4 linked regions of the Arabidopsis thaliana genome follow. The protein of the gene in region 2 interacts with the protein of the main gene of each other region in a pairwise test. Each region holds a gene or a part of one and is shown on either strand. Other genes may lie near its edges.

Evidence for each region.
Region 1: the proteins of TIFY7 (region 2) and NAC094 interact in binary tests that used the Arabidopsis thaliana proteins (3 or more experiments, as listed by UniProt).
Region 3: the proteins of TIFY7 (region 2) and TCP3 interact in binary tests that used the Arabidopsis thaliana proteins (3 or more experiments, as listed by UniProt).
Region 4: the proteins of TIFY7 (region 2) and NINJA interact in binary tests that used the Arabidopsis thaliana proteins (3 or more experiments, as listed by UniProt).

The regions. Positions count from the first base shown.
Region 1 is NC_003076.8:15,937,002-15,944,199, reverse strand, and holds NAC094 (NAC domain containing protein 94), read left to right. Parts: upstream 1-3,609; 5' UTR 3,610-3,708; coding exon 3,709-3,907; intron 3,908-3,996; coding exon 3,997-4,337; intron 4,338-4,426; coding exon 4,427-4,900; 3' UTR 4,901-5,090; downstream 5,091-7,198. Other genes in the region: DEG8 (Trypsin family protein with PDZ domain-containing protein), read right to left, coding at 55-121, 211-309, 393-478, 778-905, 1,184-1,317; AGL98 (AGAMOUS-like 98), read left to right, coding at 5,856-6,215, 6,293-6,922.
Region 2 is NC_003070.9:26,651,534-26,659,834, forward strand, and holds TIFY7 (TIFY domain/Divergent CCT motif family protein), read left to right. Parts: upstream 1-3,234; 5' UTR 3,235-3,417; coding exon 3,418-3,508; intron 3,509-3,716; coding exon 3,717-3,799; intron 3,800-4,293; coding exon 4,294-4,448; intron 4,449-4,536; coding exon 4,537-4,621; intron 4,622-4,704; coding exon 4,705-4,945; intron 4,946-5,040; coding exon 5,041-5,216; coding exon of another isoform or gene 5,217-5,271; 3' UTR 5,272-5,531; downstream 5,532-8,301. Other genes in the region: HWI1 (Receptor-like protein kinase-related family protein), read left to right, coding at 566-1,313, 1,613-1,744, 1,829-1,848; GH9B1 (glycosyl hydrolase 9B1), read right to left, coding at 7,823-8,155, 8,271-8,301. UniProt on the Arabidopsis thaliana protein: Repressor of jasmonate responses. Jasmonoyl-isoleucine (JA-Ile) specifically promotes COI1-TIFY7/JAZ9 interaction. Interacts with and suppresses RHD6 and RSL1 transcription factor activities to negatively regulate jasmonate-stimulated root hair development.
Region 3 is NC_003070.9:19,846,173-19,854,043, reverse strand, and holds TCP3 (TEOSINTE BRANCHED 1, cycloidea and PCF transcription factor 3), read left to right. Parts: upstream 1-2,318; 5' UTR 2,319-2,608; coding exon 2,609-3,784; 3' UTR 3,785-3,842; exon of another isoform or gene 3,843-3,843; intron 3,844-3,936; 3' UTR 3,937-4,256; downstream 4,257-7,871. Other genes in the region: AT1G53210 (sodium/calcium exchanger family protein / calcium-binding EF hand family protein), read right to left, coding at 6,511-6,759, 6,848-7,162, 7,261-7,537, 7,614-7,759. UniProt on the Arabidopsis thaliana protein: Plays a pivotal role in the control of morphogenesis of shoot organs by negatively regulating the expression of boundary-specific genes such as CUC genes, probably through the induction of miRNA (e.g. miR164). Participates in ovule development.
Region 4 is NC_003075.7:14,259,852-14,268,672, reverse strand, and holds NINJA (Putative interactor of JAZ), read left to right. Parts: upstream 1-1,886; 5' UTR 1,887-2,137; intron 2,138-2,528; exon of another isoform or gene 2,529-2,567; 5' UTR 2,568-2,650; intron 2,651-2,915; 5' UTR 2,916-2,992; coding exon 2,993-3,884; intron 3,885-3,957; coding exon 3,958-4,343; 3' UTR 4,344-4,639; downstream 4,640-8,821. Other genes in the region: AT4G28920 (hypothetical protein (DUF626)), read left to right, coding at 31-258. UniProt on the Arabidopsis thaliana protein: Acts as a transcriptional repressor. Negative regulator of jasmonate responses. Connects the JAZ proteins and the non-JAZ protein TIFY8 with the TOPLESS corepressors.

The sequences.
Region 1 (7,198 bases), on a different chromosome or scaffold from region 2:
TGCCCATCTCAAGCACTTTGTAAGCTCAATAACTTTTCATTCAAATCATCTTACCGTGATAATTGGTCACGATGTATCCTTGTCCGTCCCAGACTACTCCAGAGCCATTTCCTTCTGGTATCTACAATTAGATTATGAGTGTAACCGTAAGTCAAAACAATTGATAATGACATTAAAAAGAGGTGTTCTTTAAGTACTGCGAATCAGTACCTCAACCACACCCGTCATTTTGAGCTGAGGCCGTAATGTCACATCAAAGATGTTGACAACGGAATAAGTATTCTTCTCAAACAGTTGCACAATTCTCCCCTGAAACATAGAAAAGATATATAAATCTTTAGGATAACCATCAAAACCTGAAACTTACAAGTACTTTCGCTAAAGAGACAAACCTCAGTAGGGAAAAGAGGTCCAGCTGGGAAAACAGTTGGACTAACATCTTCAACGGTTGCAACGGATGGATCACCAAGTGCTAAGGCTGTAGTAATACATCACGGAGCATACTCAATTATCAAATTCTATCACTAATGGATCAATGAAAACCATCTTATTATAAGCTTACTATAAGTGTTAATGAAGAGGTTAGACTAGTTCAAGGAGCTTCAGAACTCTACCACTAGTATTGCAAAATCCTTTAAACTAACTTTGAATCATCACCAGCTAGGAACTAAAGGCTCTGATTGTCACAATTAAGCTTCTTAAACAAGATATATTCCTCATCAGATTTGTGTAAACAAAGCGTTAGAAGAAAAGCAAATAGCTGAACAAGGTGCAGACCTGATAAGTACCTTGAAGGATTAAAGCACAAATTCATGAATAAACTTGTCAACAAGATTCTCCTTGTCGTCGAAGGGACACTTTTCACAGCTAACTCATGTAAATTCGACTTCCAATCTTGAGTAACCCTATCGAATAATCAAACAGTCAAAAAGTAACATAAACATCAAAATTCTCCAAGAAATCAACAAATCTTAATGTCTGATTCAAAATGAGAAGTTTCTCCAAAAGATTGTTCCAAAAGTTAAAAGCTTTACGGTGATTTTTCACTAACGTTGATTCACACATAACACCATTCTTAGTAACCTAAAGCCCATCAGGAAAAGACATAATCTTTGAGCAACCCAAATCAAAGGAACAAATTTTCAGCAAAATTTGGGGCAATGGAAGAAGCTAAAATGCTTACTTGACAGAAGAAACGGGTGGGTGTGAAACGACGTCGCCTTGAGAAATTTTGGAACAGACTGAAGAAAGAAGTTGTCGTCGACCAACAAATTCATTCTCATTAGGTTTCGAACAGAAAGATGCTATTACCTGCATCTTTCCAAAAAAAATCGAGAAAACTCTGAGACCAGTCGATTTGGCAAAAACCTGGATAAAATTAAGAATCTTAGATAATTTTTTGTGTAGCTTAGGAAGAAGAAGATACTTGAAATACCGAAATGCCCTCTCTAGTAATTTAGAAAATAAATGATTTATTTATTTTATATGTGTTATTTTGTTGTGAAAAAACCCAAAAAAGCAGATATTTATTTTTTTATTAAGAAATATTGCATTTTATACGCGAAATTTTAAAAAGTAATTATTTTAAATATGTGAACTTCGTATATGGCCATTTAATATATAAAAATACGTTGATCGGGCACCATTTCATACAAAATTATTTGTTGATCATGCCAAAATACACACGACGTTATCTACCGCTAACAGATCCGATAACATCCGTTAACTAGTCTCTTTTAGTTTCCAATACAACGTCGTTTCACCATAATCGAAATGAGAAAAATGTCATTTAATACTCCAACTTTCAAATTGTGACAGTTTTATACATCAACTTCACATGTGATTATTTTATACATAAATTAAACATTGACCAGCAGTTTGAAATATGAAAATGCGTTGAGCAGACCAGAAAAACATATCGCTATCTAGGCCTAGATATTCGGATTTTAGTTTGGATTCATAGGGAACAGCACTTCTATCGGGAAATGGGTGTCACGCCGCGATCCAAAAGTGTTAATCGAGAAGAACAGCAAATATGCATTGGGCTAAAGACGTCATTCAGTTTAGGTCCTAAGAGTGAATCAAACGATGTGAGGCCTGAGTGGAAGATGAAGGAATTATGCTTTTAAAAGTTTGAAACAAAAAGAAAACTGTAGGTTTGCTTCTTGATTTTCCAAATTCCTCTTCATTGTTGGACTCTTGTCTTACCATGTATACTTTGTTTTTTTGTTTAGGTGGACCACAATGTGATTGTCTTGTGCAAGGTCTCTTTCAAAAGTGTTATCAAGGTTTATGAAACATCTCCACTTCTTTATTTCAGGTTCACAATTTACTTTTTTTATCTCACTAAATTAAAATGTCTCCTTCAATTCTCTTTTCTAGGTTGAGCAGACCACTTTGGAGGAGCTATTAATCGAACCTTGCGAGCGAGTGTTGTACCAGCCGAGAGGCAAGTGTACCTCCATCATCCTCTTCCTTTGAGGACGACGAGCATGTCCGATACATGCTCCCTAGGGTTTAGTCTCGGAGATAGATGGTTTGATGTATCGGTTTTAAAGCACAAACCGTTCAAAGCATTAAAGCAAAAACTTGGATTTTCACAGCATTAATAGATATTCCAAGAGGATGGTTGTTGACAACTTTAATGTTTTACATATAAAGAGAAATAGAAAGCTTAGGTTAAAGGCTATTGACCAAACTTCCCAACTTGTGTTGCGTGGGTTAAAAAACCTAGGCCATTTTTTGGACTTCTCTCATCTTGAATTGTTTTTTGGTTCATCTTGTTTTTTTTTTTTTTTTTTACCACGAGATCTTCATTTCTATTCTACGTATACATTATGTTTTTACATGTCTCAAACTTGGAGACATATATAGCAACCTTAAGCAATGCCTTCGATTTTACCAATGCCTATATTGACTTACCATGGATTTTACTTTTCTTATATGTTACAATAATATATATAAAAGTATGAAACTATAAATAAATGTGGAAGAAGGAAGGAATAAATTAATTTTAGGGAATCGCGAATTTGAGATTTCATAATTTACGTAAAAGAACATTACTTTATTTACGGCTATAACTAAAACTACAACGACCCTTTGCTTAAGCACCACAACTTTCAAATATCAATCTTAATTTATAAGACTTTTACTTATAGACTTATAGATATAGAGATTGGATCCCATATAGATTCTACTCTAGAAAAACGTTTGACATTAGTCGGTCAAAGTCGTATCATCATTAAGTCATTAACCATATAGTTAGATTTTTTTTGGTAGAATGCATCTATAAGATATCGAAACAAAGGAAGAAAAACGTTTCCATATCATATTTTCCTAAAGATAAACCACATACGTAATGTAAGTATAACTTTTCCTATATTGTTCGACTCGTCCGTAGCCTCGATTTCACGAAGTACGCAATAACCTTGAAGTTTGAATCTTCTCATAAGAAAAATAATAATTTTAACGGCAAAATTCAAGATTCATAATATCTTTCTTGTATAAATCTCCTCTTATTCAAGAGACATTGGTCTTATACCTACGCATCACTTTCTGGTCCAATTATCGTTTCCCTATGAACCCATTTCTTCTTCTCTAAGAAACTTCTTCCTTCTTCCCCAAACTTACTCTCTCTATCTCTATAAATCTCTCTGTTTCTCTTCATCAAATTTTGGTATCCCAAAAGTACTAATTCTGTGTGTGTTAATGGTTCTAGTTATGGATGATGAAGAGAGTAACAACGTTGAAAGATATGACGACGTCGTATTGCCAGGGTTTAGGTTCCATCCCACTGATGAAGAACTCGTAAGTTTCTACTTGAAACGGAAGGTTTTACACAAATCTCTTCCCTTTGATCTCATCAAGAAAGTCGACATTTACAAATACGATCCATGGGACCTCCCAAGTAAGCCACAAAACTCTAACTTTTAATTCTCCAAATATATGGAAACAAAATATTTGATTATGCATTTTCTTAAATCAATGTTTAAAAAGAGCTTGCAGCGATGGGGGAAAAAGAGTGGTACTTTTATTGTCCTAGAGACAGGAAATACCGCAACAGCACAAGACCTAACCGAGTAACTGGAGGTGGCTTCTGGAAAGCAACCGGAACAGACCGGCCTATATACTCATTGGACTCCACTCGATGCATCGGTTTGAAGAAATCACTTGTGTTCTACCGTGGTCGAGCTGCTAAAGGAGTCAAAACCGATTGGATGATGCATGAATTTCGTCTCCCTTCTCTCTCTGACTCTCATCACTCATCATATCCCAATTACAATAACAAGAAGCAACACCTTAACAATAACAACAACAGCAAGGAGCTTCCTTCAAACGTAAGTTATCGGATTTGCCCTAACTTGCTTTACCCGCAACAAAGGTTAGGTTACCAAACAAATTAGAATCGATCTTTTTCATTTTGTAGGATGCTTGGGCGATATGTAGAATATTTAAGAAGACAAATGCAGTATCCTCACAAAGATCAATCCCACAATCTTGGGTTTATCCAACGATTCCTGACAACAATCAACAGTCACACAACAACACCGCAACTCTCTTAGCTTCATCAGACGTTCTCAGCCACATATCAACAAGACAAAACTTTATTCCTTCTCCAGTCAACGAACCCGCAAGCTTCACAGAATCAGCTGCTTCTTACTTCGCGTCTCAGATGCTCGGAGTCACGTACAATACAGCCAGAAACAACGGAACAGGGGATGCTCTGTTTCTGAGAAACAATGGAACAGGGGATGCTCTGGTTCTGAGCAACAATGAGAATAACTACTTCAACAACTTGACTGGAGGGTTGACTCATGAGGTTCCGAATGTAAGATCAATGGTGATGGAGGAGACTACGGGGAGTGAGATGTCGGCGACGTCGTATTCCACTAACAATTAAGATCATAGTACTATTAACACTTGAATTAGTGTAGACGTTGATCATCGCTAATATGTATTAATTTTTCTTGTCTTACTATAAACGTTGCTTCTCTTTTGGTTTCTTGAAGGCCGAAAAGAAAAAGAAAAAAACAAAGACTTGCTTCGAACATGCAACTTCTCCTTAATTTGGTATAGATAATTGTAATGGCTTTTTATATTAATCATTAAGTCTCATTCTTGAATGACACTAGTTTTTTTGGATTTTTCAGAGCCATATTTCATATTCTTTATGAAGAGGATACAATGCTTTCTTTTTTTTTTTTGAAAATAAGTAAAGAAAATATGAATTTGCAAAATCTTTTATTTATGTCAATAATGGCAAAGTAATGGATTAAAAAGGTACACGGAGTTATAAATTATATTTCTCATTTTTTAATGGAGGGTTCTAAATTTTATTTAAAATGGATGTATTTTGGTCGATTTTTGTTAGATTGTATTGTCACAAATTTTTAGCAAATCCAATAATTATATTATTAATTAAGAGCTATTTACATAATGATACAAAGGGTATCTGAAATATATATGGACAAGCAAATCTTTCTTTTTTATAGATCTTATTAATTAAAAGAGAGTGAGAGTAGAAAAAAAAAACTATTTCCTTTTTATCAGTCCTTAACGGCTAAATTACACAAATCTATGCAAAAGATATGGAAATCAAATCTTCACAAGCTTTGTTTTACCGATTAGAAGAGTGAAAAAAAAATAAAAAATCTAACTTTAAGGACCAAATTTTCTATAAGTATATCGCTATTTCACAAAGTTGTCTCTGACTTTCATATTCTTCATCATCTTCTTAGGGTTTCCTAAACCTAATTCGTAGTTTCACTCTCTCAATTTCATTCGTCTTCGTGCTTTCTCTTCACTTTGAACGTGAAACAAAAAATAGAGAGATTGTCTTCGAAATCAACAAGAAGATGGCCATTCGATCTTTACCTTCTTCCTCAGGCTGTTCCAATTCCTCTTCGTCTTCTTCTTATTCACTCGCTTCAACAAGTTTGAGCAATAGACTTGAGACCATCTTCAGGAAAGCTTCAGAGCTTTGCACTCTCTGTGATATCGAAGCATGCGTCATCTATTACGGACCAGACGGAGAACTCAAGACATGGCCTCCGGAGCGAGAGAAAGTGGAAGACATTGCTCTCAGGTATAGTCAACTAAACGAAGCCTTGAGACGCAAGAAGAGCGTTACTCTTTATGACTTCCTGAACAAGAAGAAGAACAAGACGAACTTGGAGAAGAAAGCAAAGATAAAGGACAACGACTTGAAAAGACTTGTCTGAAGAACGTGAATGTTTTAAAGTATCCAATTGCTGATCATTACTCTCCTGACCAAATTTCTCAACTGATTCAGTCCTTAGAACCTCATGTCTCTAAAGTCCGAGAAAGGATTCGTTTTGTTGAGTCGCAGAAACATAAGGAGACAAAACCGGATCATCAGAGTTTAGCATCATCCTCTCTGAATAATCAGACCCAATCTTTGAACCCTAGCCAGTTTTCGCTGTTTATGTATAACCATGGAGATAATATTCTGTCTCAGATCCCAGTCTCTGCATCAAATTTCAATCAGGATTATTTCTCAGCGTTACTTGAACAATCTGAGTTGAAGAGTCAGATAATGAAGCAGGAGGTTTGTGGTTATGAGCAGAACATGTGCATGAGTAACAATGGAGATGCTACGCTCTCTCAAATCCCACTCTCTGCATCAAATTTCAATCAAGAGTTCTCAGCCTTACTACAAGAAGAATCTGGCTTGATGCAACAGGAGCTTTGTAATTATGATCAGAACATGTTTATGAACAACAACAACTTCCAACATTCTTTTGTCTCAAACACACAAGATCACTCTGCTCCTGCGGTACAAGAATCTGTGAACAACAACTATGGGTTGATGCCGCATGTTCCTTGTGGTTATGATCAGAACCTGTTTACGAGTGATATTACCAACAACAACCTTCTTATCGACAACTCGATGTTTCTCTGATAACAAAGCTCATTCAAGAGAGTGTGAGACTGTTTTTTCATCTTCTCGTAAGAATTTTAATATGTTGTTGATGTTTATTTTGCTAAGTATTGCATAACGCATAATGTTTTCTTGTATCAAGCTATTTTACTATGTGAACATCCAATTTATCAAGTGAATATATATTCCACTGCATAAACATGTTACCAATTACTTTGCATATCGTTTCGTGAAAATATCAAACCAAATCTCCCATTTTAAGAATAGCACATAAGGATTACGGACAATAGAAGAACA
Region 2 (8,301 bases):
ATACATAATACATGAATAAAGAAGTTGGTTTTTTATTAATTTCGTGGTAAGTCCGCCGATTTGGCCTTTCTATACGCATTCAAACTTCACAATACTATAAGAAATTAACTCCTCAGTTTTATTGCCTTCTTGATAAGTGGCAACTGGCAAGTAAGGGTAATTAGTAGTAACGGTAGAGGCTAACGAATTCACACGAGTCACTGTCAAAATAAAAAATTGAATTCAAATGACATGAGTAAGGATAGATTAACAAAAAGAAAGTTGTAATGGATAGACGCACATTGCCAAATTCCACATTATAGCTTTAAAAAAAAAAGTCTGAACGAAGAAAGAGTTGCAATTATTTAGTAATTTCAATGATATGGAACTTGCAAATTGTGGAAATTCTTAAGAACGTCCCCAACCAAAAACCAAAAAAAAAAAAACCAAAAGCATGCAACATGGAACCACATATAAGAGTACCCTTCTTTACGTCAATTATCTTTAAAGCAAGTCTTCGCTCTTCAATTTATATTTTACCAAATCATCTTCTCTCTTTCTCTATCTCTCAAAACAAAAAGTAACCATGATCAAGACAAAGACGACGTCCCTTCTCTGTTTCCTTCTCACAGCCGTTATACTAATGAACCCATCTTCCTCCTCCCCCACTGACAATTACATATACGCCGTTTGTTCTCCGGCTAAATTCTCCCCTAGCTCCGGCTACGAGACAAATCTTAACTCCCTCCTCTCTTCCTTCGTCACCTCAACCGCCCAAACCCGCTACGCCAACTTCACAGTTCCCACCGGGAAACCGGAACCAACCGTTACCGTATACGGTATTTACCAGTGCCGCGGCGACCTAGACCCAACCGCCTGCTCGACGTGCGTATCAAGCGCCGTCGCACAGGTCGGAGCCTTATGTTCAAACTCGTACTCCGGGTTCTTGCAGATGGAAAATTGTCTGATCCGTTACGACAACAAATCGTTCCTTGGGGTTCAAGACAAAACGTTGATCCTCAACAAATGTGGACAGCCGATGGAATTCAACGACCAGGATGCGTTGACCAAAGCTAGTGACGTCATCGGTTCTTTAGGTACCGGAGATGGATCTTACAGGACAGGTGGCAACGGGAATGTTCAGGGTGTGGCTCAGTGCTCCGGTGATCTAAGTACATCACAGTGCCAAGATTGCTTGTCTGATGCAATCGGACGGCTCAAATCTGATTGTGGAATGGCTCAGGGAGGATATGTTTACTTGTCGAAATGTTACGCGCGTTTCAGTGTTGGTGGTAGTCACGCGCGTCAGACCCCAGGCCCAAACTTTGGTCATGGTCAGTCTTCCTCTAAACTTATTTTAACTAAACTAGATAAAAAAATAAAAAGTCGTAATCACTAAAAAAAAAACCTTTTTACGTAACCTCAGATGAAAATTTAAATATTAGACTGATCTTAACAATTAGTCTAATGGTTTATATATTTGTGTACGACGCTAAATTTTTAAACCCATAAAATTGATAGTGTTGACCATAAATAAAAATATGAACATTATACTTGATGGAGAAAACAAATTTATTAAAAACTTTAGAGGTGGATGGATAGTTTTAAAATTATATATATATATATTTGGCAGAAGGAGAGAAGGGCAATAAGGATGATAATGGAGTGGGAAAAACATTGGCGATAATAATAGGAATCGTCACCTTAATCATCTTGCTCGTTGTGTTTCTCGCTTTTGTTGGAAAGTGTTGTAGAAAATTACAAGGTATTTTTGATATTGATTTACGTTTTTTTTTCAGTTCTTTTATCGATCATAAAATCTAAATTACTATGTATATGCCTTTTGCAGATGAGAAATGGTGTAAATGAAAGGACAAAGTGGGAAAGATATCAATCAACAACTCGAGTCGAGCCACACTGTTAGTTGTATTTTTGTAATTTTTTTTGTTCTCCCTCATAAGATGTACGTAGTTATAGTATATTGATAATTTGATATAGTATTGATATGATTGTATCTCCGAATCGATTTTTGTATAATTGTCGGACTTATATAGGCCAAAGCGATATCTTCTTCTTTGATGTGAATGAAACCTTCGATTTCTTATCTTCTATAAATGCCATGTTTTTCGTCTATGCAAAAAATAACAGTAATTAAAAGGGTTTGAGCTTCTTTTATCAATACACAAACAAGTTAAAATAAATGAACGTGTCGAGAATAATGGAACATATTAAACCGTAAATCAGGATGGAGATCCAAAAAATGATAACTGTGTTCGTCCTATTGCGAATGTCTGAACGAATCTTTTCATCGTATTCATCATTATTTATTCTCATATTGTCTAAAGAACTCAATTGAAGACTTGGCCTAATGTCCTTTAATCATTAAAAATGATAATTTAAAATTGTAAGCTGACTACCAAATCGTTTTAGGACTTTGAAAGACCAACTAACGTCTAATTCTTTTCCATATTTTTTTTAATTTTCTGAAATTCTTAATGTACTACCGATGATTGCTTCATAACCAGGTTCTTCTTTTAATTTGTACATGAGTAACATGACTAATAAATGACTTGCGTCTGTTTGAAACATTATATGAATAAGAAAAATTGGTCTCAAATAACAACATGATGTATCAAAGATTCAAAAATTTCACGTGTTATGAAATGAGCTTAGCAAAAGTTCACTCAAGTTCTTGGAGGTCTAGTTTGGAATGCAATTTAGCCAAATCTGTACAGTTATACTGAACAGATTTAATGTAAGTCGGGCCGTAAACAAAATTATGGGCCTTAGATAAGCAAATCAAACTTCTTTCAGCCCATTGAGCATTCTCGTGATTTGGTTATTGTATATCCAATACGTGACATTACTTTTGCCTCAACGAAAGAGTCTTGGCTTATCATTTCATTTATTATTATAGTTGAAATAATTTTCAAAGAAAAGAAAAAAATATGTGATAAATACCAAACCGTTGCATAAGAAAAGCAACCACACATTTTACATGTGTGTGTGAGTTCACGAAGAAAATATCCAATAGCCAAACTAATTAATCCACCTTTGAAAAAAAACATGCACTATTATAAACTAGAGCCACCGACGGTCGACGGATGTCTAATTGTATATGGTCCTCAGAAATGAAAAAATCAAAAGAATAAACACGTGTGAATTAACCGGTTTAACCAGTAGCACCAACCGTTTGTACCGGTCAGAAAAAAGCCCCACATGCTTTAATCAAGCAAGCCTTTAAAAACAGGAAAGGCAAAGAGTTAAATAAGCCTCTCCAAAAGTGTGTCTGTAACATTACCAAAACGAAACCTTCCTTGTGGATTCCCACTTCTTTCTTCTGTTTTCTTCTTCCTCTTCTTTAAATTGGATGTTTTGGGCAAGAAACAGAGAGAAACACGTTAATTTGAGAGTTTGTCATTGAATATTTGGTTTGCAATGGAAAGAGATTTTCTGGGTTTGAGCGACAAGCAGTATCTAAGTAATAACGTTAAGCATGAGGTTAACGATGATGCTGTCGAAGAACGAGGTTTGTGTTCTTGTCTCGAGAATCTTTTATTTTAATGTTTCAAGAAGAGATCAGTTTTCACTTTTAACATAGCCGTATAAAGTTGTTTATTTAAATATAATTTTTCAGATTCCAAAACTTGAAAAAAAAAAGATTCCATTAAATCTTTTATAAAAATGAGATTGGATAGATTAGTCAAATTGACGACCATAAAAAATGATACTTATAGGGTTAAGTACGAAGGCAGCTAGAGAATGGGGGAAGTCAAAGGTTTTTGCTACTTCAAGTTTCATGCCTTCTTCAGATTTCCAGGTTGGTTCATCTTAAAATTTAACTTACTCTGTATCAGTTTCAGATGTTATGGCTAATCTAATGGTTCTATAAGCTACCGCATAATCATGGTCGTCTTTTAGCATGTGCAAGAGGAGTACTCAATTATGGTCTTGATTAAAAAGAAGAATTTACTTTCAAATTATGTTAAACACATCAATCACATATTTATGAGAAAAGTTGTTTTCGTAAGAGATAGCCACCGGAAAATGGTCGGATAAATGGCCGAACTTTATCATTTTTGTGTATGTGGCCAATCATTAACCAGGGAAAAAAAATTGTTGGATAAGTGCTAGTTAAGAGCTGGTAGGGTCGGTCGTCTGCCAGCCGCAAAGTTAGGGAAAAAATAATTTAATATTTTGTGGCGTTTGGTGTTTGGCGTTTGGATCACGTTTATTTCTTGGCATTTTTCTAAATTTAGAATGTACAAAAAATTTAAAGACGTTGACGATTAAAATTTGAATTTAACAAATTAGGAGGCTAAGGCGTTTCCGGGTGCATACCAGTGGGGATCAGTTTCTGCGGCCAATGTTTTCCGCAGATGCCAATTTGGTGGTGCGTTTCAAAACGCGACGCCGCTTTTACTAGGCGGTTCAGTTCCTTTACCAACTCATCCTTCTCTTGTTCCACGGTAATTTCCATATTATGATGCAAAAACATTCAACAATTTTTTTGCTCTTTTCATATTTTGATTTGGTTATGTGGGTTTGTGGAAACAGAGTGGCTTCCTCCGGATCATCTCCTCAGCTCACAATCTTTTATGGCGGAACTATAAGCGTCTTTAATGACATATCTCCCGATAAGGTATATATAATCAAGATTCATACAAATAACATTTACATAACATTTACATGTTCTAAAACGGACTATTCATGATATGTGAGTAGGCTCAAGCCATCATGTTATGCGCCGGGAACGGTTTGAAAGGTGAAACTGGAGATAGCAAACCGGTTCGAGAAGCTGAAAGAATGTATGGAAAACAAATCCATAACACTGCTGCTACCTCATCAAGCTCTGCCACTCACACTGATAATTTCTCAAGGTGTAGGGACACACCCGTTGCTGCGACTAATGCAATGAGCATGATCGAATCATTCAATGCAGCTCCTCGTAACATGATTCCTTCAGGTATGTGTGTCTAATATCAACATCAAAACAAAATATAATCAAGATTTTTGCTTCCTCAAATCATATGTCTAAACTCGAAAATTGCTTTTTTCCAGTCCCTCAAGCTCGGAAAGCATCCTTGGCTCGGTTCTTGGAGAAGCGCAAAGAGAGGTTTGATTTTGTATTTTTTTTCTTTATAGAAAATTTTGAGGTTTTTCAATTGAATCTAAAAGAATTGATGTTGTTGGTGCAGGCTTATGAGTGCAATGCCATACAAGAAGATGCTTCTTGATTTGTCGACCGGAGAATCCAGTGGAATGAATTACTCTTCTACTTCTCCTACATAAAACCTACACTTTTTTTTTTTTTTTTTACAATGGTAATTTGTAATTGTAATCATTAGATTATGATTATATAGTTACCATTTATATTCTTACGAGCAGGAGAAGACGTTAGGGCGTCTCTGTATTTGATCATTGTTTGTAATGCTTTGGTCTGTTTATTGTAGGATTACATTATAACTTTAAGAACTAACAGATATATGTTTGTCATGGACTCATGTCTGTCAAGAATTTAATATCAAATAAAATTCACTATAATTTTTTTTTTGCTAATTTCACAAACACACTTCATTAACTAATTATATGAACACTTAATTGATTTATACCAAAATCATATTGAATGCATCGCTAAAGAGAATAGTACTAGTTTTGTATCGCCAGCTTTCGTTGTTAACAAGTCCACTTTACTATTATTCTCTCGAGTTTTTTTTTGGTATCAATGTAAAGAAAATAAGAAGGTGAAAATTCTCTTGAGGTTGATGATTGTGTAAAATACCTAAGATGATATATTACAAAAAATGATATGTTTTCAAAGGAAAATATTCATGTTTTAAATAGCTTTTTATGAAAGTCACGAGTTCAAAATTTGATGTTAAGGAGAATAAATACTACTAGTTTATGTGCTACAGTAAACAAAAAAAAAATTGTGAACCAAAAGAGCTCACATGTTGATTACGAAAACAGAGAGATTCTCTTCACAAGCGGAAAGATCTTATAGATATTATTATTTAGAGGCAGATAAATAATTGTAGGAAAGTAATAATGGTGAAGGAGATGCACATAAGCAAAAGTTTGGTGAGGAGGACAAAAAAGAGAGCTTAACCTCTAAATTCATCACCAAAAACACGTTCATATATATGAGTGGATAAGAACGATCGTCGTGGTCTTATCATTTTGCGTATCCTCTCTCTCGTGTATATGTTGTATCATCATTTACTCACTTGTCCTTTCATGCCCCCACCAAGTTGTGCAATTTGAACTACCACTACACAATTCAAAAGTACATTGTTGGGGCTAAGTTTAGTCCTTTTGTGTTTAGATTGTTTCATGAATTGATGGATTTATGATTCCCAACACTCATTTTGTGTTATCTCCTTCACTCTCCATTTCAATTAGTACTCTCTTTTACTTTATAAAATTAAACAAAACTTGTACTCTGCTTCACATTTTAACTCCTTTGCTTCTCTCTATCACTCGATATATAGCAACAATAAAGTGATTTAAAATCAATTGTGACATCAACATTTCTGGTACAAACCTCTATACTACATGTTCATACAAATTTTAATTAATAAATACAATTTTGATTTTGACTTTAATAGTTTCTATCACTTTACATTATTTTCATTTTTTTTTTTGAAGAAAGCCAAGGTCTCTTCTCTCTCATTTATCCATTGGTATAGAGAGAAACATAGCTTTCCCTAAAAACGTCTTCTTTTTGTTGACACAATTGTTTCCTTCATTAACGAAATATAAACCAAAACTTGTATTATCTCTAAGGTTTGTGTGACCATAAAATTGTTCTGAAGACAAGACAAGGTCCACAAGGACATGAATATCTGCGATAAACAATTTCACACAAATAATCCAAAAACATAAATGTCATACGTTTTAAACAAAATACATTTTTGAGATAAACCCTGAATTTGTTTCTTCCTTTTACGGTGTGTGGTTCGAAACGATGCAGTGCCATGCCGGGTCATAAGCAGAGACAAAGTCACGATTAGTACACATCTCACATTTTTCAGATCAACAAACATCAAATAAACAGATTAGAAGCTGAATTGTTTCAAGAGTTTCAGTGTTATACAATATCCTCTAAGAAACTTTATCAACAAGGATCACACAGCGCTAAGTAAAAAATTCCTAGAATTATCGAGTGAGCTATCCTCGGGTAACGTCGAACTTAAACAATAATACACGCGCACTAGGTCTCATAGGCAAAGACAACAAGATGAATCATAGTAAGCAAACGAACTCTTAGCTAACAAATTAATTTTCTTTTTCTATGGGCTTATTGGGCCGTCAACTGGACCATTTAATTTTACTAAGAAGGACAGAGATGAGGAAGTAGACCACCCCCATGAGGAAGGCCCAACAGAGATGAAATCATTATGAAGCTTGATTTGCAAAACTATAGATGGATATTTTAATTTTTAGTAGGAATCCAAACAAACAATAAACTTTTCACACAAAACCTATCATTGAGTTTTTTAGTTTTAACTGTTTTTGCTTTTGTTGAATTTGGTTCGATGATCTTTTTTTCTCTTTAAAATCAAACTTTGGTCTGATGATTATATCAACTTGTCTAGCGAGTATTAACTAGTCGTCTTGCAAACAAATAATTCAAGTAATTGACTGCAAATATAATAAGTTTAGACACCGACATAACTCTTTCTCTTCTTCACTAATTACGGGCTTACAATACAATTGGTTAAGTAGTAGAAAATAAAGAGTGGCAATAACATTAAAAAAGAAAAAAAAGGGTTTTAGGGTGGCCTAAAGTTTCCAGCACACCTCTAATAGGATAGAGAGTAATAAGTAATAAGGCCCTCCCTCATCGCCAAGTAGAATGGGCGGAGAAGTAACCGAGAAGGCCCACTAGTGGTGCATTGATATAAGTCGTGGGCTCAGACTGCTGAAAGTAAGGTCTTGAATCCGGAAAAGCATCAGTGACATTAGGTCCACCGACTACAGCACCAACCAAAAGGTTTGGGTTAGGATTTGGGCTTAGGAAATAGCGAGAGCCTTCTTTGCACCCTATGTGGCTTGGATGGGCTGAAACCGAAGGAACCGAGCTACCACGGTGATGAATCCTACGTGGAAACTTTTGACCGTATCCAACCATGTAAGACAGTCCCATCGGGTTGTCTCCGAGAATGTAATCCACCTGTTCACATATCACAAAAACAATAAGGCTTTGGTCCCAAAGAGCAAAACGGCTATGTATTTTGTTTTTGGTCTGAAATTTGGGACCAATGTTTTTTTTTTTTTTAATCTCTTACCTGACGCTTGGCGATTTGACGGAGGAGAGAT
Region 3 (7,871 bases), 6.8 Mb from region 2:
ACTAAAATTGCAAAACGGATTATTGGATCCACATTCGTCCTTTCTATATCCCTTTTCACGTAAACCAAATAATATGCCTCGATATATGATTAGTACCATATATTCTTTATTCTTTCTTTTGTGTACTCATGTATAATGTATTAGATTTATACAAGAAGACCCTAATAGACTCATTAACTCTAACAATTACCGTTAGTGTTTTTGTGTATTGCCCTTTAAAACTGTTCATGTTAGAGGAAACACTATTTGACCATCTAACTCTTGTAAACAAATCAAATAATCAGTTTATGTAAAATTATAAAGACGAATAAAAATAAAATATTTTACTACAATTCCCCTGAAAATGACTTAATACAAACTAATCATTTTGAAAGGGAATGGAAGAATGAATTTATAACTTTTCACAGTGCTTTAATTTCTTTTATTACGGAAAAAAATAAGACAATGGAAATAAACGAAATAAAACTAGGAAATTGACAGAAAAAATTGTGTTTATTTCTTTATCGGAAAAACAAGTTGACAAAAATAAATGAAAGGAATAAATATTGGGGAAAATAACTTAAGAGAGAGAGATAAGAGGAAATGACTATGAGGGTGATGGGGAGTGTACTTACTGACACACATGCGATCGAAAAACACTAAAAGCCTATAGGGTATATTCGTAAATTTATTTAGACTACACTTGGTTGAGTAGGTGCAATGGGAAACATTTATTTGAAATTTGATTCCATCTTTGCCTTACATATCGATACGTCATCTTTTTATGTGTGCATTGTCATTATTTGATGATCAAGAATATGGTACCAAATACATTATATATCAGAAAAGTTCGTATGACTACGGGTATTTAATTAAAAATACAGTACATGCATGGTCGGTGTGTATAATGGAGAAGTAGTTAGAAAGAGAATTTGTGGTAATGACAAAAAAATGGAAAACAATAATTGATTGTGTCCTAAACCAGTGAACCGTGCGATATTTCGTGCCTTTAAATTTGATGTTGCATGTCGTAGAACGATGTTTTGATAATTTCTTCTCTTGGGAAGGTAAAAGAAAAAATTATGGATTCAATGCAGATTGGCTCGATGAGTAGGAAACGCACTTACAAAAAACATAAATCTCCTATCTACAATCACATATTTCTTCTTATATCTCTCTTGAAATCTCTACATGAATCACACCTAAAATGTTCATATTTAATCACATACCATACTTGTATTAGTATGTCAAATGCTCGGGATTTCCTTGTTAACAAAAAAGAAAAAAAAAACTGATTGAGTTACCAAATTACGTATATATACACATTTTTATCTTTGTTTAAAGGAAATTCAAGTTAATTTTAAACTAAAACTATGTACAAGTATGTATCTCTATTATTTTCGTTTTCCATCTGAAACTTTACTACGTTTGGTTAATTAAAAGTGGGATTGACGAACAGTGGAGTTCGAGAACAGATAGTGGAAAGGAGCATAGACAATGGTTGATTATAGGGATACTGTCGAATCCTACGGATACTGGTGATGCATTTTACAGGGTGTAACCTCTAAAACCAATACAATTTGATTCGATGAAAATAATACTTTATTTGTTTAAAATAATACCATCAATATTAGTTTATACCGCCCAATTATTAGTGTCTCCAACTCTCCAACAGATCTAAAAGCTTTACTTTTTAGTTTTTATTATAAAAGAAATCTTCTTGTATTGTCTTTTTTTCCAACAACCCAAAACCTTTACTACCTCAAAAGTTCTGTATTAATATTTTCTAACACAGTACAGAACAATCTTTGACTTGGTAAAATTTGGGTTTATTAGTGCTTATAGTTTCTATCATCTTTAACAAAAAAAAATAGTGGTAGTCAGAACCAAACCTAAGAGGACTATGTATATGTGTTGATATTCTTACAGTAACCTCTACCAAAATATATCCATTGTAATGTATATAGCTAATACAATTCGAAATGTCATGTAAAATATTTCCACATGATGAATCGGACAAAAGCTTTTTGTTTTTCATTTAGAAAAACCATAAAATATATAATATAAAATAAGAAAACACTTTAAAAATGAAATAAAAGCACAAGTGATGATGATGAGTATCAGAGAGCTCTTTTTATGACCAAACACACTCCTTCCATTACCATTTCCCTCTCTTCCCCAAACCCCAAAATCTCTTCCTTTTTTTACCGTTACTGTAAATTTTCCGGCCAGAAACAAAAAATTAAAAAGAGCTTTCCTGGATTCTCGTTTAGTCAATTCCACATCTCTCTATCTCTTCTCTCTCTTCTTGCTTCCTCTGTTTTTGCTTCTTGAATTCTCAGAAACAGAGACAAATTCTAAAAAAGAAACAATCTTTAGACAAAAGAAGAGAAATTTAGTCATGGGTTAGTCTGCAAAATTCAATTACGTCTTCTTCTTCTTCTTCTTCTTCATCTTTGATTTGTTGGCGTGTTTAGGGTTTGGGATTTGGAGGAGAGGCAAAATGTTGAATTAAATAAATCGAACGACTCTGGATTCCTCGGCGGTTAACGACCGCCGTCGCCGCCGCCGTCATAATCCAACCACCACCACCATCAACGACCTTGAATTTCCACAATATGCTTCATCAATGGCACCAGATAACGACCATTTCTTAGATTCTCCGTCGCCGCCTCTTCTAGAGATGAGACACCACCAATCAGCGACGGAGAACGGTGGTGGTTGCGGCGAGATTGTGGAGGTACAAGGAGGTCACATTGTTCGGTCAACAGGAAGAAAAGACAGACATAGTAAAGTATGTACAGCGAAAGGACCACGTGACCGGCGCGTGAGACTCTCAGCTCCGACGGCGATTCAATTCTACGATGTTCAAGATAGACTTGGTTTTGATCGACCAAGTAAAGCTGTTGATTGGCTTATTACTAAAGCTAAATCCGCCATTGATGATCTTGCTCAGCTTCCTCCTTGGAACCCCGCCGATACTCTTCGTCAACACGCCGCCGCTGCTGCTAACGCTAAACCCAGAAAAACCAAAACTTTAATTTCTCCGCCACCGCCACAACCGGAAGAAACAGAGCATCATCGAATCGGAGAAGAAGAAGATAACGAATCGAGTTTTCTTCCGGCGTCAATGGATTCTGATTCGATAGCTGACACTATAAAGTCGTTTTTTCCGGTAGCTTCAACGCAACAGAGCTATCATCATCAGCCACCGTCACGAGGCAATACACAGAACCAAGATCTTCTTCGTCTCTCGCTTCAATCTTTCCAAAATGGTCCACCTTTTCCTAATCAAACAGAACCTGCTCTGTTCTCCGGCCAGAGCAATAATCAGTTAGCGTTTGACTCATCGACGGCAAGCTGGGAACAGAGTCATCAGTCACCGGAATTTGGAAAGATACAGAGACTAGTGTCATGGAACAACGTCGGAGCAGCTGAATCCGCCGGAAGTACCGGAGGATTTGTGTTTGCTTCTCCGTCGTCGTTGCATCCAGTTTATAGCCAAAGTCAGCTTTTATCACAGAGGGGTCCCCTTCAGTCCATTAACACACCTATGATTCGTGCTTGGTTTGATCCTCACCATCATCATCATCATCATCAGCAGTCCATGACCACTGACGATCTCCACCATCATCATCCCTACCATATCCCTCCCGGGATTCACCAATCTGCTATTCCAGGCATTGCATTTGCTTCAAGTGGTGAATTCTCCGGTTTTCGTATACCAGCACGGTTTCAAGGCGAACAAGAGGAGCACGGCGGCGACAACAAGCCGTCCTCTGCTTCATCCGATTCTCGCCATTAAACAAGTTCCAAAAACACATAAGATTGTGCAACACAACAGGTTTCTTTTCATATTCCAGGTTTGAAGTTTTTCGAAAACAACACCCATTTGTGAAAGTCTTGTCTTTTAACCATTCATCAAATTGATAACTTACATTGTTTTTAACGTTTCAGGGCGCTTCGAATGCGTGGAATAGTGAAGGCGGTTTTCGTTGTTGTGTGTTTCGAATATCCAAATGGCCTATAAATCTGATCAACAGTTTCAGGTTCTTCTTAAGTCTTTAAAAGCCTAGGCCTTGGTTAATTTGAATTCATCTTGTATCAATTAGAGAACGTTCTGTAAGTTCAATTCTGTTTTACAATGTTTAGCTCTAGCTACATGAGCTCACATCTTGTTTGTTGTAACTTGTTCTACAATTACTTGTCCTTTATTTATGTTCTTGTGTTGGAAACCTTTAACCCCACTTGAAGCTAAAGTCTTTTGTTTGCCCTTTATTCCATGTGGGTTTAATGCTTTCCCCAAGAAATATCTCATTTTGTTTGCCAATCCCAAAGAGGAACAGTGCTCTATCCATCTACATCAATCATCATATTGTTTGGTTTAGCGTTTATTAGAAGTATTATCTTCCCAATCTCTGTGGTTATAAACTTTCTTTTGACTAGCAAATGGAATTTGAAACAATCATTTCTCTTGTGTTTCTTAGTCTCTTCTTTTGGCCCCATAGATGAAGAGTCACTTTCCATAGACAGGGTTTGCATGTGTTGCTTCTTTTGGAGTTTAGAGTTTAGAATTATGGGTTTCTTTTAAAATTTGTTTAGTGGATGCAAGCTCTGATACTTAGTAAGAGTTTTGGCCCATGATCCACGGATCCCTATATAAATATCAGAGAAATGGTTTTTGACTTCTTTTCATAGAATCTTCCTCAATACTAGATTTCAAGATTTTATGAAAAAGGAGCAAAAGAGAATTTGATGTCTAGTGTCAAATAACTGTCTACTTTAAACAAGAGTGTAGGAGATCCACCGAACTTGAGTGTGATGTAGTCTTTAATAAGTAAAAAAGAATAGGACATTAGATTAGTAGATGAAGACACTCTTGTTGGTCTAAATGAAGGAAGTTGAAAGCAGAGCAAGTCTCTTTCTTTTCAGATCAATAGTGTGAAGGTATGAATTTTTGTCCATAATTTGTCGATTTTTGGCTATAATATCTTTCGGAAAGAAAACTTTGGTTTCTTATGGAGAAGTTATATAAAGAAGCAACACTTTACATGAGATGGGATAAGATGAGATTGGAAGTAGTGGCTAGACATCCGAAAGTAAATTGCAGCATAAAAAAGAAAAAGACAGCCTGAATCATATCCATTCTACATTTTAAAATTCTGTTATCTTTTCTTCTTCTTTTGTTCCTTCCTTGTAACCTTCTTGTTCAAATGTATATGATTGATGTACATACAATAAATGTAGCTCATGATGAATCTGGTTATGTGAAAAGATCAATGAGGTAAAAGAAACCTCTATGATTTTGGGGGCATGACAGAAGAAAAAGGGAATGTTGAAGAAGACATGAATGATAATAATAAAAAAGGATAGCAAAGTGTAAGAAAAGGATGAAACCAAAATGGGAAAAAAGGTTGTCACCTTTAAAGAATGGTCCCCTCTCTCTATTTCTTTCTATCTCTTGTCAGATCTCAAGGTTACATACAGCTGTCTTACTTTTCTTTGATTTTTCTTCATTCTATTCCATAGCCAATGATAATTTTCCAAAAAAAGAAGAAAAGAGTCGCAAAATGGCTCAAAACTTGATTGTTGGATAGTGGTCTAAAACCATTATTGTTAGTTTGCATCTCTCTTCAGAGGATGAGGTTACAACAAAAAGTTTTAAAACCGGCTCTTTTGGTTATTAAGTAATGAGGTTACTACGTTTGATGTTGTTTGAGTTAACCGGTTTCATTTACTGAATGATAAGAAGCCAACCAAATTTGATCCAATTTTCCTTATTGACACTAAAAGTTTATGTTCCTTCAAACACCATCAAATTCTGGCAGGCATGAATTTTCTGATTTACATTTGGTTTAGCTTCATACACAAAATGATGATATCAAGAGTTAAGGACCGAACCAAAAAAAAGAAGTTAGAGCTCGTCTTTCAAAAGGTTCTCCGGATTCATATACAGTTTTTGGGTCTAAAAATGTTTGTAAATAAGAATTCTATCGAAAATAATAAAGACTCAAGTTTTGGTCCCGGCGGGGCTCGAACCCGCGACCTTCGGCTCATAAGACCAACGCTCTAACCAACTGAGCTACGGGACCTGACGATAACATTCTACGTTAGTACATAATGAATCAATTATTCATCGGCTTATGGTACAATTGGCATTACTTGCTAAGTAAGTGTCATAAGTTGGTTCGATCATTTTTTTTTCCCCGAAAAATTAATAAATTTCAATCTCTAAATATGATGATTACAACTTACAAGTAACTTTTTTGGTTCAATACAAAGAACATCCATAAGTAAAACTATAAAAGAGCAAGCAAAAATAAAGATGTAGGAGAAGACTAAATAGACAGAAGAAACAAGAAAGATATTACTGTATTAGCTTCAATAAGACTCTGTTTCCAATACACAAATCTCAGAATTTAAGTTTTTACACTCGAGAATCCATATATATATATATATGTAGAGAAGAAACGAAACCACGCGCGAAGACACTCACTCATTAGAACAAACTCTTTGAACAGAGAGTGATATCTACGACCAGCCAAACCAGTAATCAAGAATATAGACCAGACCCAAGGAGAATGGGTAAAGCAAGTAAGCTATGAAACATGTCCAAAGAGGATAAGTTGTGCGGAAACTCGCGAAACCGCCCATCACCAGACAAACGATGAGAATCACCAACACTTCTGATGAGAAGTTCCATGTCAGTCCTCGAACGTAGACGATTGCTAAGAACACCGAGAGACACAGAATGTTGTTCATTGTCACTCCACCACATAGCTGAAAACAAACAAACACCAAGAAACGGGTTTTAGTATAGGAAATATAATGGGACAGAAAGATATAAGACTTGTGAATATGGATGGACCTCGGAGAAAGTTAAAGAGGCGGTTCTGATCTTTTTGCGGGATGCGAAGATGATGGCAGACACGGCTTCACTTGAATTGGTGGCCAAAGGCAAAGCGATGAAGGAAATGAAGAAAGACGGAATCCCTGTGGCTGCGGAGAAGTTGTTAACAGTGTCGACTAAAGGATCAGCAAATGCAGCTGCAATGGCAGCTCCTAACAGTAGCAGCAGAGCTGCTTTAATGGTGATCCATTTTGGGTCTGCAACCTCACCGCCTTCCTCATCATTCTCACCATTCTCGTTATCTCCCAACAAAGCATGCTCTCTCTTTGTTTGCTGCAAAACAAGAAAAAGGATAAAACTAATTGCGTTAGATTCCAGATAAGTTTTGTGACCCAAGTCTGTTCAAATAAGGTTTCAACAGTCTTTCTAACCACATGGAAATTGTCAAGGAATTTCATTGTTCGAGGGCCAGCTTCAGGACCAGATGGAGCACCTCCCATTGCCTGGATAAGCCATTGCTTAATTCCACGGACAAACTCTTCTTGATCAACTTGCTCATCAAGAGTCTTATCAAAATCTTGGAGAACTTTTCCCACAGCATCATCCTTGTCAAAATCTATATCCTCAAAGCTGATCCCAATGATAAGCGCCTTTAGTTCAGCCGCTGACAAGTGTCCGTCATTGTTTGCATCAATTGTCAAAAACAACCTAATAAACAGATAAACTTGAGCACAAGGTGAAACCGAGTAAAGTGCATTCTCCATGTAAAGAATATATGACTTACTTTCGAATGACATGTTCATCAGGCTGACCTTCATCATCAAGAAGCCTTCCCAGAGCATGTTGTTTCAAGTGCCTTAGTATTCCTGATATAACATGCTTGTGTTTTGCAAAAGCAAGCCGTCTCCTTTGGATCCATGGTTGGAATACCTAGATATCATCATACAAGGAAGGATAATCTCACAAAACAAGATGGAGAAAGCAAAAAAAAAGGAAACAAGTCTAGTAAATATTTTTCAGAAACTTCTGTCCTGAAGATTTT
Region 4 (8,821 bases), on a different chromosome or scaffold from region 2:
CCATTAAAGATCAAGTATGTAATTGTACAGACTCGGAAGAGCTGTGAAGAGTCGCCGCACTTGAAGCTCAAGGCCAACAACGCTATCTTCTACATGGGTTTCAAGGGCAGTGGTGATCATCATCCGAGTGGTAAGCATGTCGAGTACCAAACAATAGTACGGAAAGCCATGGATGGAAAACCGGGACACATTCGTCTAGAAGTTGACTCTTGGCAAGCCATACCAAGCGATTTAATTGGGGAGGATGAACCGCCCTAGAGTAAACCTGAACCGGAATGCTCATCCTCTGCTGCTCAATAAAAAGTTACCGTAGGGTTGACTTCAAGTCCTTTGATGACGACTATACTGTGAATCTGTGATTACTTGTTCTCAATGCAATAACTACAAGTCTCTTCTTCTTCCTCTTTTTAAAGCTTGTCTTCTACTTGTGATTACTTGTTCTGAATATTGTGATATCAATCAAGACAAGTATGAAATCACCAAGAGCTCTAAGAATATATTTTTTTCTATCATTTTATTCCTTGGATTTTTGAAGAGTAACAAAACATATATGATTTTCATGAGAAGTTGAAGCTGAGAGAATAATATTTAGAGTTGTATTATCGTGAATTGTTGGTAACGATGATGGAGGCTCCTGGGACTAGGGTTGGGAGATGGGAGTTCACTTCTATTGAGAGCAAGTCGGTGAGGAGGAGTTTCTTTGAAACAATGTGATAGGCGGCGGCGATTTTGTATGTGGGAGACGGTGAGGGGTCTTCTTCACCGTCTCACGGTGGATAGCCACAACATCATCAACGTAGACATTAGGTTGAAAAATTCGACATCTTATGGTATTTAATATGACGATTAAAAAGAGAGAAACAAGTCTATTTATCCTTTGAATTGTTAATGATCCTTTTTAATTTATTTTTCAAACTTATAAAACTATGAATAATAGCATCAGAAATAATAAAAAAAAAACCATGTAACTTTATTGCTTATGAGTCAATCAAAGTATATATTTATTCATGTTGTAGCTTTTCAATATTATTAACCATGTTTGTTTTCATTATTTTATTTTTACATAAGTAACATATTTTCATGCCATTAAAATTTTACAACATAAGATAATTTTATTTTATAATATTCAAATTTCCAATTTCCAATTTCCTCTTTAGTCTTAAGTCTTAACATGTCAATTTTTGTATTAAAAAAAAAACATGTCAATTTTTTGTACAAAAAAAATAAAACCATGTCAATTTAGGAGGAAAAAAAACTGGAAAAGCCTGACAAAGAAAAAAAAGCTGGAAATATCAAAAATAAAATGATAACGTCGCCTGAGAGATTCGAACTCTCGCGGGGAAACCCCATGTACTTAGCAGGCACACGCCTTAACCACTCGGCCAAAGCGACTTTATTGATCATGAATCAATCTAAAATATATATATATATAAACCTATCGTTTTGAATTTTTTTTTTTGGCAAACAGCTTTTGATACTATTATATATATATATATATATATTATCCCCACATATCTTTAGCTATGTCTTTTTCGAAGGAAATTTTGAAGTATTAAATTAAGTGACGATTTACACACATATGGAGTAATTAAATCGTTTTAGCATATCTTGTAATGTTGTCTCTCTTATCCAACTATTCTAAAGAAAGTGGTGACTAGAAAATATAGATTATATACTATGTGACCAACTTTTTAGTATATCTTTATAAAAACGCATAAGATATGTCATATGTGTTTCCTCTAAAACTTGTTAAAGAAATGAAAAATCTGTTGGTAGATGTGAATAGTTATGGACTAGTTTGGCTTTAAAAAGAAAATTGGGCCCATGTATTTCTATTCATGCATTGGACATGTACAATGTACAAATATATTCATGATTGCAAACATGTAGTATATATGCTGACTATACGATTGTTATTTATTCAAAAGTTAAGAAAATGCACAAGATACACATGGACGAAATCGAAACTAATTGTACAATAAAATAATAATTATTAGTATTACGAAGGGAAAAGGGAAATGGTCCGTACTAGTTGTCCGAACCCGAAGAAGCCCCAATCGCTGATGCAACTGTCTAGGAGCCGCCACGCTGCGAAGAAGCTCTAGGGTTTGTTCGTCTTCTTCCTCGGTTTCATCAGGTTTTCATCTTCTCGATTCTGATTTCGGCTTCTGTTTTAGCTTTATTCGGCTTATTGTGATTTAATTTGAGCTGATTTGGCATTATTGCTGTGTAGTTAGGGGTCAGGGTTTTAATCTGATCGCGTCTAGGTTATGATTCTTTTGATGATTTCGATCTTTAGAAAGTCAATTGATTTGTTTCTTCGTATGTAGCTCGTTTAGCTGACAGATCTGCATAGTGTCTTATCAGTTACTAGATCTTTGTGCTATCTCTCACTCTGATTTCTGGATTTTGATTCCTTTTTTTTTTTTGTTAGCTGACATACAAGTGTGAGTGATGTGTGTCTTTGCTTTGTTTCCATTTTAGTTTAGTTTCTCAAAATGGAAATGATGAATATTGGGGGTTTTCAGAACCTAAGTTGTAGAAATGGTCTTTTTTTGTTATCACAGAACTCAAAAGGTACTTGGTAGGAGCGAGAAGAAAGTTTCTGGAGAATTGCTGAATTGTTTCTTTCAATGGTTTTGTTTCTAAGGTACTATCCGAGTCCAATGTTTCTGAGAGTTCTGGTAGCTTGTTAATTTGTTATACTGAATACTAGGATTGATTTTGGCAAAGCATGTGATGTTTGTTGCAAGTTCAAGCAGATGTGTTTCTTTTTATAAATTTAGAAGAAGTTTACTTCCGCAGCCATCTATGATTCTCAAAGTTCTTAGCTTTGCGTTTGATTCTTTTTTCTAGAAACCATTGGTTAGCTTTGGATAATGAGTCCTTTTCTGCCCATGATGTATTTTTCTCAGATGGTAATCAAGATTGTTGACGGTGCTCTGAAGATCTGTTGACCTGCTCAGAGTTTGCTTAAAAAGTTTGAGAAAAAATGGACGATGATAATGGGCTCGAGCTCAGCTTGGGTCTTTCTTGTGGAGGATCAACAGGAAAAGCTAAGGGTAACAATAATAATAATGCTGGAAGCTCCTCAGAGAACTACAGGGCAGAAGGAGGCGATAGAAGTGCTAAAGTGATTGATGACTTTAAGAACTTCCTGCATCCAACTTCTCAAAGACCTGCAGAGCCGAGTTCTGGTTCTCAGAGAAGTGATTCGGGTCAACAGCCTCCACAAAATTTCTTCAATGACCTCTCAAAAGCTCCTACAACTGAGGCTGAAGCTTCTACGAAACCTTTGTGGGTGGAGGATGAGTCACGGAAAGAAGCAGGGAACAAAAGAAAGTTCGGGTTCCCGGGGATGAATGATGATAAGAAAAAAGAGAAGGACTCGTCTCATGTTGATATGCATGAGAAGAAGACAAAAGCATCCCATGTTTCAACTGCGACAGATGAAGGATCAACAGCTGAAAACGAAGATGTAGCAGAGTCTGAAGTAGGTGGTGGTTCTTCTTCCAACCACGCAAAGGAGGTGGTTCGTCCTCCTACTGATACAAACATTGTGGACAACTTAACTGGTCAAAGGAGGAGCAACCATGGTGGATCTGGCACTGAAGAGTTTACAATGCGCAACATGAGTTACACCGTACCTTTCACAGTTCATCCGCAAAATGTCGTCACTAGTATGCCTTACTCTTTACCGACAAAAGAGTCTGGACAACACGCAGCAGCTACAAGTCTATTGCAGCCTAATGCTAATGCTGGAAATCTCCCGATTATGTTCGGATACTCACCAGTCCAGCTCCCTATGCTAGATAAGGACGGTTCAGGAGGGATTGTCGCACTTTCTCAATCTCCATTTGCTGGAAGAGTTCCATCAAACTCAGGTAAGCAAAACCTTCCCTTAAAACACGATTTAGTACTCTTACAGCAAAAATAGTAACTTTTCCTTCCAAAAAGCTACTGCAAAAGGCGAAGGCAAACAACCTGTTGCAGAAGAAGGTTCATCCGAGGATGCATCAGAACGACCAACGGGAGACAACAGCAACCTCAATACCGCTTTCTCTTTCGACTTTTCTGCCATAAAACCTGGAATGGCAGCAGATGTGAAGTTTGGAGGATCCGGGGCACGTCCCAACTTACCGTGGGTCTCAACCACTGGTTCAGGCCCACACGGACGGACAATCTCAGGTGTCACATACCGGTACAACGCAAACCAGATCAAAATCGTATGCGCTTGCCACGGCTCGCACATGTCACCGGAGGAGTTTGTACGGCACGCAAGCGAGGAGTACGTTAGCCCAGAATCATCCATGGGAATGACTGCAGCGTCAGCTCACACCTGAAAAGTCACCACCGGAAAAAAAGATGTCTGAAATCTTGTAAACAAATGGAAGGGTTTGTAATGAGTTTCTTTTTGGAACATACATTTTATTATGTTTAGTCGGATCAAACTCTCAAGCCAAAGTTTTTTAACTGAGCTTTCTGTTATGTTGTTGTAATCTCTCTACTTCATCACAATTCCTTATGTAATCCTCTTCTTTCCTTTTTGTTTTTTGGTTGAAAGGAAATTATATATAACCATAACATTATCGGTGTCCTTTGTTCCTTTGGTTAAAATCTAAACAACTATTTTGGTAAAATAATTCACTTTGATTTTGACTACTATGTAACGACAGCAAAACCTTCAATTATGTAATGTCATGTCAAAACCTGATACCATTGATACGGTTGGTTGTACAGAAAACCTGCAAGAATAATGTCAAACTCTTACTTAATAGTTAATAAATTGATAATGTTGTGGTTAAATTCTATAACAAAGAAGTAATTGAAAGACTAAAATAGTGAAAGTATTGATAAAACGATGATGAAGAGAAATCTCTTTATTGAATATTTCAGCTTAAGGTTTACAATGACAGAGAAGGGTTTATATATGAACCCCAAAATGGTGAGACACTAGGTCACACGTCATTAGCTGCACATCACGACAGAGGAACAAAGAGGATCAAATTTGTTATGAAGGGACAAATGATTAGCTGTGAATCCCGTACGTTGATGCGCTGGAAATTGAGGAATCTTGTTACCGTTGCAAGGTAGAGAAGACTTGAGGTTGATGGGCTTGACACTTTGACTGAGGCCCAAAGTATTGTTGAGTGTTGCAGGTCCATTCGCAGAAAGCAAAGCTTCTGATTGTAGAGGAGGTTCTCTCTGATTCACACACCCCCTCAAACTTGGTGTGGGAGGTAAAACAACGCCAAGTTTGTACCTTAAGTCAAAGAATGGACGTTGGGGAAGAGACTTGGTGAAGATGTCTGCAAGTTGATGAGAAGCAGGGACATGTTTGACAACCAAAGCTCCCAAGGCAACACGTTCTCGAACATAGTGAAAATCAACATCAAAGGCCTTAGACCGGTTGTGCATTGCTGGATTTGCAGTGAGGTAGACAGCAGAGAGGTTGTCACAGTACAACTCCGGTGGTGCAGGTTGATAGATGCCTATTTCACGAAGCAAAGATGAGATCCACTTCACTTCTGTAGCTGCGATAGAGAGGGTCCTATACTCAGCTTCTGTTGAGGACCTTGAGACTGTTGGATGACGTTTTGCAGACCAACTGATTATGTTAGTGCCAAGAAAAGTGCAGAAACCACCAACAGATCTTCTAGTCTCTTTGCAGTTTGCCCAGTCACTATCACTATAAGCACGCAAAGTGATATCCGTGTTGTTGTGTAAGTTGAGACCCATTTGAACTTTTCCTTTGAGATAGCGTAAGACTCTTTTGAGGAGATTGAAATCAGCAACTGTGGGGGAATGCATCTTTTGACACACAAGATTGACTGCAAATTGAATGTCAGGACGAGTAAGAGTAAGATATTGTAACTTACCAGCCAAGCTCCGAAAATAAGTAGGATCAGCAAAGCTTTCTTGTTGACCAGGAACTTTATCCAATTGAAGAGGCAAAGGGGTTGGCATTGGGGCACAATCTGCCATTCCTGCTGCAACAAGGAGATCCATAGCATATTTCTCTTGATGCAAGAACAACCCTTCTCAGTGAAAATGAGCCTGAATTCCGAGAAAGTAATGCAGCATTCCCATGTCTTTCATGCGGACTCTTTATTCAGAGAGACAAGCAGTGTGTCCAACAGTTCACTATTGTTGCCTGTGAGAAGCATGTCGTCCATATAGAGCAAGAGGAACATGAGATCTCTTCCTTTCAGAAACACAAACAGAGAAGGATCTGAATAGGTACAGATGAAACCAAACTCCAAGAGAAAAGTACTGAACTTGTCAAACCAAGCTCTCGGAGCTTGTTTAAGACCATAAATGGCTTTGTTGAGCTTGCACACATAATCAGGTCTGTCTTGATTTTCAAAACCTGGAGGTTGGTACATGTACACAGTCTCTTTCAAATCACCATGTAAAAAGGCATTTTTAACATCAAGTTGCTTGATTTCCCACTTGTTAATGGTTGCAACATGTAAGATTGTTCTCACTGTGGCTGTGCGAACCACTGGACTATAAGTCTCCATGTAATCAACTCCTTCTTCTTGTTCATAGCCCTTAGCAACAAGACGAGCCTTTAATCTATCAAGAGTTCCATCAGCCTTTAGCTTCGTTTTGAAAACCCACCTGCAGCCTAAAGGAGTAATGAACGAGTCAGGTGGAACCAAATCCCAAGTATGTGTTTCTTCAAAAGAGTCATACTCTTCACCCATTGCATCAGTCCATCCAGGGTCTTTAAGAGCTGTTTTGACTGTCTTTGGTACAGGGTAGTTACTCTTTACTGTAAACATAGCATATTTGGGATTTGGCTTGAAAATGCCTGATTTAGACCTTGTTATCATAGGATGACTTTGATCATTAGTGTTGTCAGCAGCTTCTGTTTCTGTTGTAGCTTCACTGAACACTGAACTTTCTGAATTTTCTGAATTTTCACTCAACTCTGAGTCTTCTGCATCATTTCCTGAACCTGCAGAAGAGATAGGAGTTTCTGGTTGTGGTGAATTCTGCTGAGTAACTGGAGAAGAAGGGAGACTGTTGCCTATAGGAACAGAATCTAAGTCCGCCGTACACCCACAACCTCCTCCTCCAACAGCACCAGAGAATTCACCTTGTTCATCACTGAAAGAAGCTGCAGTATTAGAGATATCCAAGACTTCTGGAGTTGCAGGAATACTCTTCGGGAGAAAGTTGCTTTGCCAAGCTGAGACTAAAGTTGAGTTTGTACCTGAAACTTTGTCACTATAGATATCTGAAAAAAGGAATTTGGATTCATCAAATAGAACATGTCTGTTGATATATATCTTCCCTGTAGGCGGATGAAAACACTTGTATCCCTTGTACTTCTCATTATAACCTGTGAAAACACATAGTAACGATTTAGGATCAAACTTGTTACTTGCATAAGGTCTGAGATTAGGATAGCAGGCACATCCAAAAACTCGAAGAGAAGTGTAGACTGGAGCCTTTCCCATAAGAACTTCATATGGACTTTTCTGATCTTTGAGAACTGAGGATGGAAGAAGGTTGCACAGGAAATTTGAAGTGTAAAAAGCTTCTACCCACAAAAACTGAGGAACTTTGCCTTGAAACATCATTGACGAACCAAGTTCTGTAATGTGACGATGTTTTCTTTCAGCAATACCATTTTGTTGAGGAGTGTAGGGACATGAGATCAACTGTCTGATTCCACACTCTGCAAGATGAGAAACAAACTGATTGCTGATAAACTCACCCCCTCCATCACACTGAAAACTAGCAATCTTTTGTTGACACTGATTCTCAACCATCTTTTGAAACGTGAGAAAGACAGAGAAGAAATCTGATTTGAGGCGCAATGGATAAAACCAAGTGAATCTTGAGTAATTGTCAATAAAGATTACATAATATCGAAAACCTTGAGAAGAAACAACTGGTGCAGGACCCCATAAGTCACAGTGGACACGTTCTAGGAGTCTGCTTGAAACAAAATCTGAAGAAGCAAAAGGAAGCTTGCAAATCTTTCCCATTTGGCAAGCATCACACAAACTGTGACTTGTTTTACTTATAACTATGGCTTTATTTCTTAAAAGTTGTTGGAGAACATCTTGATTAGGGTGACCTAGCCTCATATGCCACACCTCATCACTTGTAGCTTGTTGTCTGGAAGAGTAGCAAGCCATGAACTTCGGATTCTCCAACAGGTACAAATCATTATGGCGGGTTCCTTTCGTGAGGAGCTGTTTTGTCAGCTTGTCCTTAACAATCACACCATCAGAGTCAAACTCAATCACACAAGGATAATCTGAGGTAAGCTTAGACACAGATAAAAGAGACTTAGTGATATTAGGACAAACAAGAACATCTCTTAGTGGCAGATTACCTTGGTTGCTTGTCAGAACTGCTGAACCAATGTGAGTTATGGGGAGAAAGTCACTGTTGCCAACAATAACTGAATCTTCTCCACTGTAAGGTTGAGCAGACTGAAGCTGAGAAGTAGAGTTCGTGATGTGTGAAGTAGCGCCTGAGTCAGTCACCCAAGGATTGGATTTCTGATCAGAGACACGCATTGCAGCAAAGGCTTTACTGAAGTCTTCACTCTGAAAAGCATGATCAAAACGCTTCCAACACTTATAAGCAGAATGACCATACTTGTTGCAGATCTGACAGGTAGGTCTTGTTCCTGAGTCAGAGGGAGAGCCACTTGAGATTTGTTGAGGGAAACCTCTCCCTTTAGTGGTGTAGTTGTTGCGACCTCGATTTCCACCAGATTGACCACTTTGAGTAGTTTGATTCAGTAGCATAAGCCAAGTGAGGAGAAACATTAGGAACCTCTGCATACTTTTGC